Cricetulus griseus: one gene and its partners. The protein of the gene in region 1 interacts with the protein of each later gene in a pairwise test. Links are inferred from orthologs where the notes say so. Each region holds a gene or a part of one and is shown in the gene's direction. Other genes may lie near its edges. The genes, in order: Top3b, Mid2, Ssx2ip and Spred2.

Region 1 (3,711 bases):
AGCCAAGTGCTAAGAGCCTTTCCCACAGCCATGACTTAAATTAGTAGCATATGTGAGACTGCTACAGACCCAGAGACCAACATACACTTCAGTTTGGGACAGTGAACAGCGTTCTTATGTGACCTTCTGAACAGGAAAGTGAATGAAGGCAGTGTTGTTGAACAAGGTCCATGGGCAGTATAAAAAAGGGCTTACCTACCTGGACATAATGACTTGTATCTGTAATCCTAGCATTTAGGAAGCTGAGGAAGAAAGATTGCCACAAGTTCAAGGCCAGCCTGGGCTATGGAGTGAGACTCTGTCTTTAAAAACAAAAACAAAAAACAAGATCTGACTATAACAGTCATCCAGGAACCATTGCATGTGCAAACTGCCATGATTGGGGCCAATTCCTACCCTTGGCTATGAGTCATGGAACCTCTGAAAGCTCCTCAACCCCCGATGGCAGTATCTTCCCTATAAAAGTTGCTGAGAGTACTTATGGAAAGATAAATGTTCCTCTGCCAGCACTAGCAGCTGGACCCTGATGTCTAGAGAACATATGTGTCACAGTCCAGGTAGAAGAGGCCAAGTTGCATTTAATGGTTTCAGGAAATGCTCTCTGACCTTAACATAGTCCTTTATACTCTCTGGGCCTCTGTCTTCTAATTATAAAACTAAACACCAATGAAGCCTGTCCTTGGGTTAACAGGTGTGCCAGCACAGTGCAGAGACAGCCCTGCTCTGTCTTGGGAACCTTTCTGTATCATGGCTTCTGGAAGCCATACAGGAGACAGCAGTCTGGACCCAGTGAGCAAAATAAGCTGCAGTTTGTAACATGATACTCCTTCCACGGGTGTCTGGGAGGGCCAGAAAACAGGGTTCCTTTGACAGGTGGATGAGACTAGAGTGCATAGCCCAGAGCATCTTCTGGGGCAGGCTGAGGGATACCCAGAGCCATGCTGTGCCTTCCAGGGACTGATGCCAGTATCCCTGTGCACATCAACAACATCTGCCAGCGCAACTATGTCACTGTGGAGAGTGGCCGCCGGCTCAAGCCCACCAACCTTGGCATCGTTCTGGTACATGGTTACTACAAGATCGGTGAGTCTATCTACCCACTACCTGTGACCTGCTGGGCTTCCCGGTTCCTTCCTACGCTGTAGCTCTGCAGCCTCCTACAGTGGCCCTGTGCTCCTCATGCGTTTCCCCAGTCCCCACTACAAAGATGCTGTGAGGACTCAGGAATTTGATTAATGAACAGATTATAATGGGTCCAACAGAGGGTTCTTCCACAAAGCAGACCTGGTTCTCCACCAGCTGCTCACTAAAGCATGCCCCCAGTTCTTTGCAAGATGGAGGAATGCAGCACAGACCTGGCCATTCTGCACAAGATTTCTACACACACACACACACACACAAAAAAAAAAAAAAAAAAAAAAAAACTTTTCTGATGGGAAACCAGGGAAAGTTTGACGGCGATAGGAGCTGCCCTTGATGCTTCCAACTCTGTAGACAAGCAGCCAGGGGGAACCCAGGAAAACTGGGTCAAGCAAGACAGCAGTTCTTGCCTGCCCAGTGGGGTAGCAGGGTCCTGCGTGCCAGTGCCCACAGCAGCATTCACCCACTGGCTTATAGATGCAGAGCTGGTACTCCCCACCATCCGAAGCGCAGTGGAAAAGCAGTTGAACCTGATTGCTCAGGGCAAAGCTGACTACCACCAGGTTCTGGGCCACACCCTGGATATCTTCAAGAGAAAGTTCCACTACTTTGTTGATTCTATTGCTGGTAAGACCTGCCTCTTCCCTGCCCTTCAGCAGCAGCCATTCCAGTAGGACACAGCCACCTGAGGCCCACTCCCACATCCAGGCTCTGAGCGTCTTCAGGTCATCAGCTATTGTCCAGGTTGATCAGCATCCACACTGGGCATATACAAAGCTGATGAACAGGGCTACAGCTCCATAGTCTATCATTGACAGTCACAACTGGGCTCTTGACCATATATATGTGCTGGACTCTGTGTTCCATCCAGTCCCACCCAGCTCACCCCGTCCCACAAGCCACCTGTTGGCTGCCAAAGACAAGAGAGACATGACTCCTGGGCTCTGCTTGTTCTCAGGCATGGACGAGTTGATGGAGGTATCCTTTTCACCCCTGGCTGCCACGGGCAAGCCCCTCTCACGTTGTGGGAAGTGCCATCGATTTATGAAGTACATCCAGGTATGTGGAGCCGAAGGACTATAGCCACTTCTGGCCACGGTATTCCTGCACACATCACCTTAACCCTTTGCTTTGTCATCAGTCCTGCAGAAATAATGTTTGTTGTCTTAGTTGTCACACAGAATGATTAAAGGGTCTGAATCCACACTGATAACAACATAAACCACCAGGATGCACACACAGTGTCCATCCATTCCCTCTTGCCACCATTTCTATCTTTTTCCCCCTGAGATAGGGTTTCTTTGTGTGGCCTTGGTGCGCCACCACCGCCCACCATCATTTCTCTTGCTCTCATGACTATTGGTAACAGTCCGGTTGTGTGTGCGCACAAGCATGCCCATATGTGCGTGCACTCCACAACACATGTGGAGGTCAGAGAACAACTTGCAGGAGTCAGTTCTCTCCTTCCATCAGATGTTCTAAGGATTGAACTCAGCTTCACATCAAGTACCTTCACCTGATGACCATCCACCAGCCCTGTGCTGGGGCTTTAGAATCCCTGCCTGTGGAAAAGAGGGAGGGAGGAAGGAAAGGGGTGGTGTGATAACTGGGCCTCATACCAGTGGTTGAGAGGTCCTTGCCTGACACTGAATTGTACATTCTGTGTATCTGTTAGGTATTCCGCATTGCCTATTCGTGTTGTGAAGGGGAGGACTTTGGGCAAGAGGCACACCAAGCAGCTCTCATACCCCTTCTCATTGTTCCCATCCCATCCCATAGGCCAAGCCAAGCCGCCTACACTGCTCCCACTGTGACGAGACCTACACCCTCCCCCAGAATGGTACCATCAAGCTCTACAAGGAGCTGCGGTGTCCATTGGATGACTTTGAACTGGTCCTGTGGTCCTCAGGCTCCCGGGGCAAGAGCTACCCACTGTGTCCCTACTGCTATAACCACCCACCCTTCCGAGACATGAAGAAAGGTAAGTATGGCACATGGCTGTTCCCAGCATCATACCAGACTCCAATGGGGTCCCTTACCCATCCTTCCCTATCTGTACCCACTAGTACTGAGTCAGAGACCCCAGAAATACTTGGGCCACTGCTCAGGTCTGGGTACCCCTGGGTCATAATTGAATAAGCAGTTTGTTCACTTAGGATCTGGACAGAGGACAAGCTGTGTCTCAGGGCCTGGGCTAAGTGAGAGACAAGCAGTCTCAGACAGTGACACCTGGCAAACAAAGCCCCCTAGGCTCTCAGACACTGCTGTTGTCTTCCTTTCCAGCACTCTTTGCTGGAAAAAAGAGAGCATGTGTCCAGATGAAGCAGAGCATGCCACCAGAGGGACTCAGTGCCCAGCACACTTAGCCACTCTCCGGTGGTGCCATCCTCTATCTCAGACTGGGAGCCAGCATTTTTGTTACCTGTGCATTTATTTATACAGAATCCTCAGGGTCTTGGTCTGCATTCATACTGCCAAGATAATGAAGCTCTCTTCCTGCCCCTGAGTGGCTTACAGAGCAACACTAAGTACCAGGTGATCTGAGGGCAACCTAGAGTAGCCGTTAGTAAG
Region 2 (5,485 bases), on another chromosome or scaffold:
ACCATGTATGTTTTAAACAACTCATTCCGTCATGCCCTTGGCCCCTAGTAACTTTCATTCTACTTCCTATCTCTATGACCTTTAGTCTTTAAAATTATTTCTAAAAAGTCAATCATGCGCTCGCCTCAGCAGCACATATACTAAAATTGGAATGATACAGAGAAGATTAGCATGGCCCCTGTACAAGGATGACACGCAAATTCGTAAAGTGTTCCATATTTTTGAGGTTACTGAAGATAAGGTTTTTTGAAACAGTCCTTCAGTATCTTTATGAGCATTAGTTTAATACAAGTAGAAGAAATGGAGAGTCATCTTAGGAAATGTAAAATTTCTTTTATGTATCTGTATATGCATATCTAAAGAAATAAAAAGAATGTACTTCTGAAAAAAAAGTCAATCATCCCCACCTGAGTGGCCAGTAGCTCCACCCAGAGCCCAGATGTCATCTGGGCTCAAGTTGCTTGCCTTGGGCCATGTCTGGGTGGGTGGTCCAGCTACAAATGGGGTCTGTGTGGGTGTCTGTGGCCTGTATCACCTCATGAAACCCTAGGAACCATTCGAGATGAAATCAGAGGGCCATGCTGAGGCAGGCACGCCCTTCACTGGCCCTGGGAAAGCTGGCCTTGCCTCTCACTGGACACAACAGCAAGAGAGCTGGTCCCTGTAAGCTGGAGAGATGGCCCCCACCCTTCACCACAGGCCAGGGTGAACCGACCCTGAGAGCATGCATGTAGGGGAGCTGACTTTACCCTCTTTGTATATTCTAGATATTAAGCCTTTATCACGTATGGTTTTCAAATATTTTCGCCCATTCCCAACTGTGTTGATTGTGCATTCTATTGTGTAGGTGTTAGGTGCTATGTAGTCTCATATGTCATTTGCTTTTGTTGTCTGTGTTTTGGGTATGACGCATTAACTTTAAGATCTCTCAGCCCTGTACTTCCCTTAAGGTAGCATGGTTGGGTTTTTCCCCTTCATTTCCACTCCATAGTTCTCTAGCACACTGTTTAACAGTGCTGTTGGGTGACTGCTATTGGTTCCCTGACAAGACACACCCAGCAACCTTCATTTTTTTTCTGGATTTGTTCCCAAGCACAGTAATAGGAGGCTCATGTGATTGCTTTCCTCTTCTCTCTTTTTGAGTGGAGTTTAAAGCAGTATCCTCTGGGGCAGCTTCCTTCTCTCATCCACCTTAAGAGGGGCAGTGGTCTTTGAGTCAATAGTAAATAGGCTGACTCCAGACCAATGGGAGGCTCCTGGGTTCCAAATGGACCAATCTTCTTAATAGGGACCTAGCATTCTTGGATGACTAGCTTCTGCCTCTTTGACCTTCTGTTAATGACCATCTTGTCTTGTTTGTCAAGTGTCTGAAGGTGCAAAAGAAACCTTTACTCCCCCATACACTTTCAGTGGCTTTAATCCACCCGAACAACTTGTGGCCAAGGCCAATAGAACACAGCCACTCTCCCTTTGTAAAAAGAGAAAGGGGTTGGGTTTCCTTCAATTGTCTGTCCTTCTCTATCTCTTCCATGCCTCTCTAGTTTTACTCTCTAGTTAACTTTGCATAGTACAATAGTACAGCTTCATCAGGAGGACCTGTGCGGAGGTTCCAGGCAGACTCTTCTCATTGGCGGGTGCCTTTTCCTTGCTAATCTGGGGGTTTGTGGAGGTAGTGGGTGGTGGGTGGGAGAAGAGTTTGGCCATAGTCTTCCCTCTGCACTTCACACACACTACCCGCTCGCAGACGCACGCATACTACACACACACACACACACACACACACACACACACACACACACACACACACACACACACACACACACACACGCCTGCTCAGACCCCTTTTCCCTGTGTCTTCCATCAAGATGACAGGGCGCTGGAGAAAAGGCTGCTGGAATCAGCTGGTAGGTACAGTAGTAATCTGAACCCCACCCACCCGCTGCCTTTGCTTGCTCAGGTTTCTCCGGTCACTCCTGCCGGGGGAGAAAACATGTAAGCGCGCCTCCAGAGGAGGGGCACGGGGAGCTGGGAGTGGCGGGGGCGGAGGAAGGTGAGCCTAGGAAGGTGGCCCAGCGCCCCTTCTGCGCGGGCCCCTCCCAGTGCTCCCTTGGGGGTGTCAGCTTCGGCTCCGCTTGCCCCCACTCCACCCTCCTTTCGAAGGGATTGCTTTTTTTTTTTTCCTCTGCGGCGGCGGAAATGACAGTGTGGTGCTGCGGTGGTGTCATGGTGCTGCCTCTGGACTGAGAGGCGAAAACTCTCAAGTTTCGCCCGGGAGACCCAGACGCGGGAACGTCGCGGTCTCCGTGCTGTCCCCTGTGGGGCGCGCGGGCTGGCGGATCCCGGCTGCTGCGCGGCGGTGGCGGCGGCGGCCGCAGCGGCGAAGGCAGGCGGCGGCCTAGAGTGGTGGTGGCGGCGGCGGCAGCGACAGCGGCCCGGGAGCTCGCACGGGAGCCCAAGCCAGCTTGCTGCGGAGGCCAGCGAGCGGCCGACGCTCCCAGGCGCGTGTAGGACATGGCTGGCACCCGAGAACAATATGGGTAAAAAAATGCGTCCCCTCGTCGCGGCCCTTGGGTGGGTGGGGGGGTCGAGTGTCGCCGCCCGCGCAGGGCTCGGCCCCGGCTCCGGTTGCTCTTCAGGTGCCAGCGTTGGCCGAGGATACCCGGGCTCGGCGGGAAGGGGAGGGGGGGAGACAGGGTCCGCGAGGCTCCAGGCGGCAGTAGCGGGGCCCGCGGTGTCTGTCACACTGTGGTGACCCGGGTTCCTGCCACTGCCCTCGTGCGAAGGAGTTTGCACTCCTGGATCCCAGGCGGGGAACGGCCCGAGGCCTCCCGCTTGGCCAGGCCCAGCCGGGAGAAAGCAGTGGAGCGGCTCTCCTGGCGCCCAGGCGCAAGTCTGGGAAAGGGCGCAGCCGCCTTCCCACGCTCCCGCAATCCACGGCGTCCTCGGCCCGGGCGGCGCCCCGTGGTCGGCGGTTTGCTCAGCGGTGCTGGCGCAGCAGCCTGTGATGCTGCGGACACCCAGCCGGCGGGAACCCGGGAGAAACTTAATCCCCCCTTTTCGCTGGAGGAAGCAAGGGATCCTCAAGTCTCTGTCTGGGTGGTTCCTTATTTCTGGCCTAGCTGTGAAAGCAGCGCCGTGGGGGGGGGGGGGAGAAGGAAAACTTGAGGGTGTCCACAGGACACACTGCTACTGAAGCAGGAACATTTGAGGCTTTTCCCATTTCGGGCTCGTAAGAATTAAGTAACGGCAGGCAGATTTACTGTAACACTACTGGCCATGAGCTGGCTTAGGTTATTTCGCACTTCACGTGCAGCACATTATTTATTTATTTAGTTTGGAGGCATTTCTATTTCGAGCAGGCAATTAGGATCCTGAGATGATGGGACTCCTCACTTTCCACTCTCTTGGCACTCCTTATGCACTGACACTAGTATGCCTCTTATTCCTGCCTCACAACATTTGTCCACCCACGTCTCTCCCCAGAGTCCCCGCACTCTCGGCTTTTCTCTACCAACCTGTGCACATCATCCAGCAACGCACCTTCTTGCTTTTCAATCACTTTGCTTTTTTTCTTTTTTGGAAGATTTTGTAGGGTGGGGCCGGTGAATGGCAGTTGTGTGTCTCCGAGGGGGAGTATTTATGAAGGAAAACCCTGGAAATTGTAATAATAGACAACTGTTGTGTGGGGATTAATTAATCCGATTTTCAAATTGGACCATAAGGGCTGACTTTAATTCGATTCTACTTCCTCTCCGAAATCGAATCAACTCTGACAGAATTCCAACAGGAGAAGGGGTTGCCAAATAGAGAGTTTATATTTCTCACTTCTGCTTATGGAGCCTCTGCTATACCCTGGCTTAGCACCTCACCACACACACACACCTTTTTACCTCCCCACTCATCACTGCCCTGAGGGAGAGTCAGTTTTTGTTATTTTTATATATTCCTGCTCAATTAACTTAATACAGACTCATAATGTGAATTAAATTTCTCTTGATTGTTCCTTACAAAACTTGATTCATGTGGTTGAAACACAAGTCTTGGAGCCAAGATCAGAGAGTCCATTGCAAATGTGATGTTGCATTGGCTTTATGGCCTTTAGACATTTGTATGACCTTTCTTTGACAGTTGCTGCCCTTGCATAAAAGGCATAATATTATGCACTGGGTATTGTGAGTATTGGCTTGGTCCTTTGAAGATAAAAGGATTCTATAAACCTCAGCATTATATTTTTCAATGAAAGCACTTCATTTATCCTTTATTGGGTTACTGGGTTGACTGGGTATAAATGGGAACACTAATTTACAGAAACCTTAATTTGCCATTATTAGTCCCCCTGGGATCCAAATCATTATTGTAATTTAGATCTTAAGTCAATTTGTTTCACCAAATGTATGTGTAGCTGAATGGAAACATACACAATTAGACATAGAAAGTAATGGTGATGATTTTAAGTCGAGTCATAAATCATATTGATTGCACTCTAACCTAACAATCTGAGTCAGACTCATTTGAATACACAACCTCACCCATTTTTAGCTAACATGGGGGCAGTTACTTAATGCCCAATAAAAAGTGGCATAGTTTTAGGTCTGGCTAGCCAAGCATGATTAGCACCTTGCAGCAGTGAGTCAATATTTTTTTAAAGAACCTTTAATATACAGAGGCCTCTGCTGATTGTGTTGAGGCCCTAGACTTGTCTCAGTATTTTGGGTTCATATTTGTGTTATGCTGAACTCTGCTTCCATCTCCAAGGCTAGGATGGGGCGGGGGAGTGTAATGTGTGGAGTAGAAAGAGCGGTTATGGACCATGAAGGGCTCTCTCTCTTCTATTTACTTTCATAACTACTAGGATTTCTACCTAGCATGTTGTACCTTGCAAGACCATTTCTGAGAGGTACTGCTGCAAATAGGAGTGACATGGTTGCTTCACAAACAGATCATCTGAACAGTGCAAATTGACTTAGATAAAATTGGTTAATCCTTCCTCTAAGAACAGGGCAACTTGCTCCAACTTGCAGATCTTAAAATAGTGCCGGTGGAGTCTCATAATTGTGTCCAACTAGTGTTCTGAGTAGTGAACCTTTCCATTCCCTCCTCCCATAAAATCTGCTGACACCACAACAATTAAGAAGGAAACTACAGAAGATTGTTTTTGGGTTTTTTTTTTTAATCACCCAGCAAAACTCATTGGCTTGATGAAGAGGAAAGAATACTGTCTTTGGCTATTAGGTCCCTGAGAGCTAAAATTTCTCTTTCTCAACAGGAAGGTAGAACCGTGAAAGGTGAAGACAGAGATGAGGCACCGACTTATGTCTCAGATGACTGTTTTTAGAGATAACTGCTTGTCTTTGTGTGTTGGTCATTCAATCTTTATAGATCTTGCTCAATTTTTAGATGTTAGCCATGGGACTCAGCTGCTAGAAGAGGCCCGAGGGTGCTCCAACTCCATTTAGTGCTGAGTTTTTGTTCTGTCTTCTGTGCA
Region 3 (4,893 bases), on another chromosome or scaffold:
TTGGTGGCAGGTGCCTTTACCATCTCCTGACCTGATCAGTGTTAACAGCAGGTTTGGTTTGTTTTTCTTTGTTTTTTGTTTGTTTGTTTGTTTGTTTTGAGACAGGGTTTCTCTGTGGCTTTGGAGGCTGTCCTGGAACTAGCTCTTGTAGACCAGGCTGGTCTCGAACTCACAGAGATCCACCTGCCTCCCGAGTGCTGGGACTAAAGGTGTGTGCCACCACCGCCAGGTTTGTAATCAGGGTGTAGCACCTGATTAAATCCCTCCTGCTCCACAAGCTGCAGCTTTAAGTATAGCATGATGCTGCAGCTGGGAAATTCTAAATTGGATCTCCCAAGACAGCGCAGCGGGAATCAAGCCACACAAAAATATTTCATAAGTAAATTACTTTCAGATTGTGCATACAAGGTACATTTGAAATAGAGTTCATGTTTAGGCTTATATCATACTTCTAACACATACACATAAGCAGACAGACAGAAGAGACAGATACTGTAAAATCCCAAAGTATCTTAAATCCCAAGTGCTCAGGCCCCAAGTGTCTGGTGAGGGATGCTTAGTCTGTAGTCTAAGAGACTTTGAAATGGGTTACAGGCCCATAGCTCCTGGAGACCAATGATGGCAAGAACAGTCACTGAGCCATCTGCTAAGCCTTAATCACCCGCTCCGCTTAGCTGGATCTGCTACCCCAGTGCTGATGTCACAGTGTCTGCTTAGACCTGACCTCTGCTACCCCAGTGCTGACGTCACAGCGTCTGCTTAGACCTGACCTCTGCTACCCCAGTGCTGACGTCACAGCGTCTGCTTAGACCTGACCTCTGCTACCCCAGTGCTGACGTCACAGCGTCTGCTTGGACCTGACCTCTGTTACCCCAGTGCTGACGTCACAGCGTCTGCTTAGACCTGACCTCTGCTATCCCAGTGCTGACGTCACAGCGTCTGCTTAGACCTGACCTCTGACCTGACCTCTGCTACCCCAGTGCTGACGTCACAGCGTCTGCTTAGACCTGACCTCTGCTACCCCAGTGCTGACGTCACAGCATCTGCTTAGACCTGACCTCTGCTACCCCAGTGCTGACGTCACAGCGTCTGCTTAGACCTGACCTCTGTTACCCCAGTGCCAGCTCTTCATTGCTGCTGCATTTGTCTGATTGGGGGGAGGGGGGTATAATAACTCTTCTTTCTTTTAACCTTTTGCCACCTTTCTCCTGAGAGGTATTTTTCATAGTCAAGTGTTTCAACCTTCCTGGAAATTAGTAACAAATAAAGACTATTGTATATAGATGCATGTTTGACTTAAGTTTTCATATTGTTTTCTGTGGTAACTTAATCAACATTGGTACATTTTCCTATAATTTCATGTTTTGGTCCAACAAAAAGAAAAACATGTCAGCCATAAAATGATAGGAGAATTGGGATTAACTGTTTGACTCTGTTGATAATTTCAAAAGGTTTACTTGTTGCAGCAGTCTAAACTTAGAGACAAATCGACCAGTCTCAGTCCTGCCTGTCTTCTGTGTGACACTGAGCCTGCCTCTGAGCCTGAGTTTCTTTTTTGCACAGTTTGAGAAGTAAATGTGCAGCAGCATCCAGCACAGCATTGCACAGACAGCAGCTGTCTCAGACAGCTCTGTCAGTCAGATTGGAAGAGATCTGAATTTGGGAGTTTCTGTCTTCAGTACCTTTTTACAAGATATAGATACTGGCTAATGGGTGAGAGATTGCTTGAGCCCGATAGAGCAGCCTGGGTGTAAAAGCATTGTAAGTTACTGGTCTTTCCGTCGTTCTCTTTGGGCTGTAGGTTATCTCTGATATTGAAGATGACCTTGGAGAGCTGAGCAGAGAGAGCGCGTGGGGCCTCTCCTGTGACACTGTGAGAGAGCAGCTTACAAACAGCATCAGGAGACAGTGGAGGATCTTGAAAAGTCACGTGGAAAAACTCGATAACCAAGGTAACCCCTGCTGCAGTGCAGGAGAAGTGGGCGCCATGTAAGCTGCTGCTGTCCAGTGCAGGGCTGGCTGCTCTGGGTGTCTGGTTCTGCCTGGTTTGCCCCTGGCTTTGCACTCACTGACAGAGATGCACCTGGCTCCAGAACAAGTCTTAGAGAGCAGCATTGCTCACACTTGAAGTCCCCGTGCAGCTCGGTAGTGAACTGAACAACTTGTAGCTCGAGTATGAAGGCAAGCACTCTTATATGTGTTAAAGTCTGCGTGCTTCTAAATCAGGAAAGTTGAGTTTGTGCTTTTTCAGGTTTACATTTATCATTTTAATTGTGTTTGTGTGTGCAAAGGGGCGTGTCATGTGAGTGTAGGTTTCTGTGGAGGCCAGAGGTGCTGACTCCCCGGAGCTGAAGTTAACAGGTAGTTACAAGACCCCAACATGGGTGCTAGAAATGGAGCCTGGGAGCTCTAAGGAACAGAGTGCACTTTTCACCTCTGTCATTTCTTGAGCACTAAAATTTCTGTTTAGTAAAGTCAGTTACTTAAAGTTTATTGGAGTTATCAGTACAAAGCTGTGAGTCACAAAGGACAAACAGCATAGTTCTCACAGTTGCACATTCACTTGCAGTAATTTATTTTAAATGTGTGTTCAAGACCAGCTTAAGACAATAGTGGCTTTAAAACCTGTGCCTAGTTTCTGGCTCTCATCGTGGTTTCTATTGTTTTGGTAAACACCATGACCAGAAGCATCTTGAGAGGAAAGGGTAAATTTTACTCTGTGTGTGTGTGTGTGTGTGTGTGTGTGTGTGTGTGTGTGTGTGTGTGTGTTCCATTTTTTTATTTGAATTAGAAACAAGATTGTTTTACATGACAATTCCAGTTCCCTCTCCCTTCCCTCCTCCCCTGCCCCCCCCCCAACTAAAACGCTACCTATCACAAAACCTTTCTGCGCCCCCAGGGAGAGTGAGGCCTTCCATAGGGGATCTTCAGAGTCTATCATATCCTTTGGGATAGGGCCTAGGCCCAACCCCCGTGTGTCTTGGCTAAGGGAGTATCCCTCTATGTGGAATGGGCTCCCAAATCCACACCTAAGCTAGGGATAAGTACTGATCTACTACAAGAGGTCCCGTAGATTTCCGAGGTCTCCTCACTGACACCCACGTTCAGGGGGTCTGTGTCAGTCCCATGCTGGTTTCCCAGCTATCAGTCTGGGGACCAAGAGCTCCCCGTTGTTCAGGTCAGCTGTTTCTGTGGGTTTCAGCAGCTAATCCTTTGCTCATCACTGGTTCTTTTCTGGAACTGGATTCCAGTTCATTTCAGTGATTAGTTGTGGGTGTCTGCTTCTACTTCCATCAGCTGCTGGATGAGGGCTATCAGGTGGCATATAAGTCAGTCATCAATCTCATAATCAGGGGAGGGCATTTAAGGTAGCCTCTCCTCTGTTGCTTAGATTGTTAGCTGGTGTCATCATTGTCGATCTCCAGACATTTCCCGAGTGCCTGATTTCTCTTTAAACCTAAAATATCTCCCTCTATTATGGTATCTCTTATCTTATAAGAGATAACCTGCTTTCTCATACAACTCCAGACCACTTTCTCAGTGGTGGCCCCATCATACTGAGCTGGGCCTCCCACAAGGCCAGCCTGGTCTACAACGTGAGTTCCGAGACAGCCAGGGCTATACAGAGAAACCCTACTCCAAAAACAAACAAACAAACAAACAACTCATTACTGAAGAAAATGTCTCACAAGCTTGTCTGTGGAAGCATTTTCTCAGTTGTTCTCAGTTTGGGGCCCTCTTCTTTGATGACCCTTGCTGGAGTCAGGGTGACAGCAAACTAACCCAGCACACTGGGATTCTGTCAGTTTCAAAGGTCCACTCAGAAGGCCTCAATGATGAGGACGTCATCTCACGACAGGACCATGAAGAAGAGACTGAGAAACTGGAATTGGAGATCCAGCAGTGTAAAGAGATGATCCGAGCACAGCAGCAGCTCTTACAGGTAAAGGGATGGCCTCGGGGTGTTATTGAACCTGCTAGATTTTTGCTCCTGTGTCTCCTGAGGTCTGTAGAGTTGACACCCTTTACCATCTCAGGTGAGTCATCTGAACTAGCAGTTAATGAGCTGCAGCCTTGTTCACCTGGCCCCTACTTTGCCAAGGGAAGCAGCTCTTGGGAAAGCAAGTTCTCATTGCTTCATCGTGTATGTCCTTGGCCAAGCTCTGACCCATCTTCCCTGCGTTCACTGGAGTGTGAGTAAGCTGTCTGGGTTTCCTGACTTACTGTGTTTTAAACCTTAATAGCAGCAGCTGGCCACGACATGTGATGATGACACAACCTCACTGCTTCGAGACTGTTACTTGCTGGAAGAAAAGGAACGCCTTAAAGAAGAGTGGTCCCTTTTTAAAGAGCAAAAAAAGAATTTTGAGAGAGAAAGACGCAGCTTTACAGAAGCTGCGATCCGCTTGGGGCTGGAGGTGAGCTCTGCAGTGCTGCAGCCCCGAGCACAGGTGTCTGGGAGGGTGCAGGTGGATGCTCCTTGGATCCACTTCATCTGAAGGATCACACTAGCCATCCTACTCCCTGAGAAGAATGGTCAGAAATGACTACACTGTTAGTTTGGGATCTCAGCCATCCTCAGGCTGAGCTTTTAAGCACAAAACCAAAACTTGGGTTGACATACTTCAGTTAACAAGAACAGTTAGCCAGAGGCAGAAGTACAGAAGCCAGAAAGCAAGGCTAGTACATTTAGAGACTTTCCAAGAACTGTAGCTTTGGTGGACTAGATCTTTGTTTTGGTTTTGGCTAGAGGTGCTGTCCACATGCTGAGATCCATGGCCTGGGTGGCACTTCCATCATGGAGTCAGTTGTGCTCAGGCCTGGGGGCCTGCTCCATGACGAGTAACTGCAAATTGAAGGGAGAGGCTGAGCATATGGATGATCTCTGTTAGA
Region 4 (4,893 bases), on another chromosome or scaffold:
GGCCCTAAGGAGGGAGAACCCCAAAAGGGTGAGAAGGAAGAGTTCCATCTGTGTTGCTTGAGATGGCTTAGACATCTAAGCAGAGACATGTCATCATCCACTGTTGTCATTGGTCTGGATCTTGGTAGGAGGCCAGGTAGAAGTGTGAAGATGGGTATTGTTGCCATAGAGGAATGTTGAGGTGGAGGAATGGGGCGTGGTTCATCTAGTGTGACAGGAGAGGCTGTGCAGACATGAGGGCATGAGGGCAGGTCTCTGCTGCTGTTGGTTTTCCCAACGAAACAAGCACATTGATCACCTCAGAGCAAGGAGGCAGGAGGCTGTCCAAAGGCATTTTGGGCAGAGGGCAGATGTAGCAGAATGTCCCATGTATGGTCAGTGGCTGTGGCTTAGAATAAGCGCTGTGGCCGGCAGTGGTGGTGCACACCTTTAATCCCAGCACTCCAGAGGCAGAGGCAGAGGCAGGCGGATATCTGTGAGTTCGAGACCATCCTGGTCTACAAGAGCTAGTTCCAGGACAGCCTCCAAAGCCACAGAGAAACGCTGTCTCAAAAAACAACAACAGAAAAAGAACAAGCTCTGTGAACAAAGTTTCCTTGTGACCTATTGCAGCAGCCCTAACAGTTCGGTAGAGAGGTAGAGAATGGAGCAGAGAGCAGGGTGTGAAGAGGTAGTCAGACCCCTGGCCCTAGTAAAGAGAAGAGCACTAGAACCTAGAGGAGGAACCTGTGATGGCTGAAGAGTAAGGTGCTTACAATTATATGTTGGTGATGGCTCACACCTGTATGTAATTGAGGATTTGGAAAAAGGAGAAATAGCCTTATCTATGGAGTAAGTCTGAGGCCAACCTAGTCTTCATGAGACTATCCAAAAGGGAAAAAAAAATGAGGTTTGGAGGAAGTGCCCTTATTGGTGGTAATCTCAGGGATTGACTTGGTGCATGGGTAGCCTTGGTCAGGTACAAAGACATGGAAAGAGAAGAGTCCCGGAAACAAGATGCACAGTTATCAGAAAAATCCTCAGGGCCACTGGTGACACACTAGGTTTTGTGCAGAGGGATGGGGCAGTTTGCCGGTCTGGTAAAGTCTTCATGGAATTGGGGGGTGGAACCTAGAGTTGAAGAAAACTGAAGGCAGGTAGGGAATGGTTTAGTGATGCACACATCTCTCTTAGACCAGGGCAGGGGGTGTGTTTGCCTGAGAGATCCTCCACTGGCACCTTCCACTGAGTCTAGGTAAAGAAAGCAAAGGGACTTTTGTGTGGGACAAGATGTTGCCTGAGTGTGGGAAGGCAGTGAAGTCACAGCAGCAGATCACAGAAAGTGGGTGAGAGGTGAACAGAGATGGAGGGGGCCGGGGCAGGACAGGATGTCTCTGAGATTGTGGAATCTGTCCCTGAGTGCTGAGGTGGCACACAGTCCTCCTTGGCTCCCCATTTTATGTCACTGCTTCCCCCAATTCTGGCACCATGCCTGGTATATACAAGATGGGAATATGTGTTCTAATGGGATAGGGAAAAGGATTTTAGGTAATAGGATAGTAGGGCTTAGGGCAAAATCATGTATTTAGACTGAAAAAAAGGAAATTATAAGCAAAGGCTGTAAGTGTGTAGAGGTGAGTTAAAGTCTTCACACCTATATAAGTGGTGCATGGAATTGTGACCATGTAATTTAGAAGTGGATTATTATATTGCTTGCTAAATAGGATTCTTAAATTCATAAAATGTTAAAGCTTGGTCATTTATTATAAACTAAGTTTAAAAAATTAAGGTTGTAACATCCCTTTGAAGTTAATAGGCTTGACTTTCCAAGTCAGATAGATGTCCAGTTCTAGAGATTAGCTTATTCATTCAATAATACTTAGCACGCAGAAACTGGAGATTGTTGTGCCCGTGTGTATCTTCAGAGATTCACTAGTGAAATGTGATGATTAGTGGGTGTCTCTTTTAAGATGACTTCTATATTGCATTACATGTTGTTTTTCCTAAATGTCAAGATGGGCTCCCATTTAAGGTTATTGTCAGCCGTATCTGCAGACAAATCAGAAGTGTCTTGCCCCAGAAAGCATGTTCTGCAGCTACTAGACTGTTGTCATGCCCCTTCTTGTTGTCGTTTTAGTGACAGCTATATTGTGCGTGTCAAGGCTGTGGTTATGACCAGAGATGACTCCAGCGGGGGATGGTTCCCACAGGAAGGAGGCGGGATCAGTCGCGTTGGGGTGTGTAAGGTCATGCACCCTGAAGGCAATGGACGAAGCGGCTTTCTCATCCATGGTGAACGACAGAAAGACAAACTGGTAATGACAGACACACATCTTAGTAGTTAAAGTAACAATGACTGATTTCTGCACATAAGTTACAGCCCTTTGCCCTTTGATATTTCTAATATAACCTCCCATTTTCAGCGCAGTCTCTTGGCCATACATCGTATAGAGTGCATGTAATAAGGGTATTTGACCATTTTGTTTGCATCTTTGATTAATCAAGGTGTGCCATTTTAACGGGTATTAAAAGCAAAAGCATGTTCTTTGACAAGTCATGTAGCGACAAACTTGGAATCAGGGTTTTCCATGTGAGATTTGGGTGGGAGAAGGTAAGGAGTGAGAAGGCATCACCTAGCATTGGTTCCTTATAAATAATTGTTTGTCTGAAAGATTCCAGAGCTAGGGGCTGGGAAGATGGCCCAGAGTGTACAAGTATTTGCCGTGTAAGCATGAAAACCTGAGGTTGGATCCCAGTACCCAAATAAAAATATGGTGGCCTTGCAGGCCTGTCACCCAGCACTGTAGATCACCAGGGATTACTGACCCAGCCTTAGCTCCAGGTTCACTGAGGCACCTCGTCTCAGGAATAAGATGAAGGTTGGGAAAGCAGGGTGCCTGATATCTTTCTTCAGCCTCCACTCACAAAAGGTGCATATACACCACACAAACACACCCAGCTTTTATTTCATAAGTAATTAGTAAAGCATCTTTGGTAAAAGAAAAGCACGAAGAACATTAGCATGGCACTTCTATAAGAAATTGTGTGTGCTAGGAAACAAATACATGGGAAAGAGAGCCTTATCCCAATTGTGGGATAATATACAGTCTCATGGAGGAACTTTGATGGCCAGTTACACAACGGTTTATGATAGGGCGGAAGATAAACCATCCAAGTCCAGTTTATTCTTTTTTGGGGTGGGGCAAGGTGCCAGAGCTCAAACCTAGGACTTTGTGCATGGTGGGCATCTGCTTTAGCATTGAACTCCACCCCCCAGCCCAAGCTAGTCTCTCTCACCTTCCTTCCTATTCTTGCTGAGACTTGAACCCAGAGCCTTGCACATCCTGGGCCAGCACTTTCTCGGCAGAGAGCTATGTGTCCCCAGTCCTAAGTCTTCTTCAGACAGACTACTCTCAACATGGTTTACTTTCCACCGTTTTACAATCTGTTTATTCCACTATATAAACAGTCCATCACATTTTCAGTCACTCTAGATTTTGAATATATAAGATCTCCCAGAGGAAATGCACATGGCTCCTCACTATGTTGGTGTTACATTTGAGAGCCTGGGAAGGTTTCATGTGTGAAATGTGTAGATATGCTCTTTTTTCCCCAACCACTTCTTGTGGTTGAAGAAAATTACCAAATAGGTAAGACAGAATAGTTTGTAAATATCACAGATTAACTGAAATGCTACTTTATACTTAGTTCACTCTTCAAAATTCTCTCTGTGCCGGCAGTTGGACCACACTATAAAGAAAATGAAATGGCCAGGTATGGTGGTACACACCTTTAATCCTAGCACTTGGGAGGCTAAGACAGGCACAGGCAGATCTCTGTAAGTTCAAGGCCAGCCTGATCTACACAGCAAGCTCCAGGCCAGTCTAGGTAGTGAGCCCCTGTCTCAAACACACATGCGAGCACACACACACACACACACACACACACCAAATAAATAAGATCTTAGAAAAAGGTGGCTTGGCTACCATGTGCCTGTCATGTACCCCCAGCTAAGCACAGGGTTAGCCCATTAGTTGGGTGATGCTCAGGGAATGATTTCTTGTTCTTGGGGACCATATTTAATACAGCATTACACAAATCCCCAAACCAATGCAGTCACAATGCACAGCTGTGCGTTTTCATTTCCACACAATTTTTGTCAGTTTGTAAAGAGCTTTGTATTTCACTCATTTGTCACCTACATTCTCTTTAAGAACTTTCCAGTTGTTCACACTAATGTGATGTTCCGTTGTTAGACCATCTCCTTAGAATGTACCCCCCCATCACCATAGTATTATGAAGACACATTTAACTGCATTTTCCACATTTCATGTTTTTTGCTTTTTAAGAAATAATTTGGAGCCGGGCATTGGTGGTGCATGCCTTTAATCCCAGCATTTGAGAGGCAGAGATAGGCCGACCATCTGTGTTCTGAGTTTAAGGCTAGCCTGGTCTGCAAAGTGAGTTCCAGGACAAGCAGGCCTACTCAGAGACACTCTTGTCTTGAAAAACCAAAAAGGAGAGAGAGAGAGAGAGAGAGAGAGAGAGAGAGAGAGAGAGAGAGAGAGAGAGCGCTAATTTGGAACATGATTTTTCACATGGGTGCTGCTACTGCTGTGTGAGATTTTCCGTTAACATTTTGAGGTCATATGTTTTAAATCTCTGTCATTTGATAGAATAACAGTGGTCTCTGTCTGTCACTTATGAATGACCTTATAGGGTTTCCTGCTTGTTAAAAAACTGTTAATTGTTAGTCAGCCAGCCAGATGGCCCAGTGTATGAGGGCACAGGCAACCAAGCACATGGCCTGAGTTCAATCCCTGGAACTCACGTAGTAGGAGAAAAGAGATTGTTGTAGATGGTCCTCTGACCTCCATGTGTGCTTCAGGGCACATGCCCTCCCATACATGCACA

Evidence for each region.
Region 2: the proteins of Top3b (region 1) and Mid2 interact in binary tests that used the Homo sapiens proteins (3 or more experiments, as listed by UniProt). The two-hybrid records come from large-scale screens. The link is inferred for Cricetulus griseus from reciprocal best matches to the Homo sapiens genes TOP3B and MID2.
Region 3: the proteins of Top3b (region 1) and Ssx2ip interact in binary tests that used the Homo sapiens proteins (3 or more experiments, as listed by UniProt). The two-hybrid records come from large-scale screens. The link is inferred for Cricetulus griseus from reciprocal best matches to the Homo sapiens genes TOP3B and SSX2IP.
Region 4: the proteins of Top3b (region 1) and Spred2 interact in binary tests that used the Homo sapiens proteins (3 or more experiments, as listed by UniProt). The link is inferred for Cricetulus griseus from reciprocal best matches to the Homo sapiens genes TOP3B and SPRED2.

Annotation. Positions count from the first base shown.
Region 1 is NC_048597.1:72,444,681-72,448,391, reverse strand, and holds part of Top3b (DNA topoisomerase 3-beta-1), read left to right. Parts: intron 1-954; coding exon 955-1,083; intron 1,084-1,617; coding exon 1,618-1,767; intron 1,768-2,098; coding exon 2,099-2,199; intron 2,200-2,919; coding exon 2,920-3,121; intron 3,122-3,711. UniProt on the Homo sapiens protein: Releases the supercoiling and torsional tension of DNA introduced during the DNA replication and transcription by transiently cleaving and rejoining one strand of the DNA duplex.
Region 2 is NC_048604.1:39,661,101-39,666,585, reverse strand, and holds the start of Mid2 (probable E3 ubiquitin-protein ligase MID2), read left to right. Parts: upstream 1-2,036; 5' UTR 2,037-2,533; coding exon 2,534-2,537; intron 2,538-5,485. UniProt on the Homo sapiens protein: E3 ubiquitin ligase that plays a role in microtubule stabilization. Mediates the 'Lys-48'-linked polyubiquitination of LRRK2 to drive its localization to microtubules and its proteasomal degradation in neurons.
Region 3 is NW_023276806.1:12,736,394-12,741,286, reverse strand, and holds part of Ssx2ip (afadin- and alpha-actinin-binding protein), read left to right. Parts: intron 1-1,801; coding exon 1,802-1,952; intron 1,953-3,806; coding exon 3,807-3,943; intron 3,944-4,244; coding exon 4,245-4,418; intron 4,419-4,893. UniProt on the Homo sapiens protein: Belongs to an adhesion system, which plays a role in the organization of homotypic, interneuronal and heterotypic cell-cell adherens junctions (AJs).
Region 4 is NW_023276807.1:86,504,188-86,509,080, reverse strand, and holds part of Spred2 (sprouty-related, EVH1 domain-containing protein 2), read left to right. Parts: intron 1-2,116; coding exon 2,117-2,294; intron 2,295-4,893. UniProt on the Homo sapiens protein: Negatively regulates Ras signaling pathways and downstream activation of MAP kinases. Recruits and translocates NF1 to the cell membrane, thereby enabling NF1-dependent hydrolysis of active GTP-bound Ras to inactive GDP-bound Ras.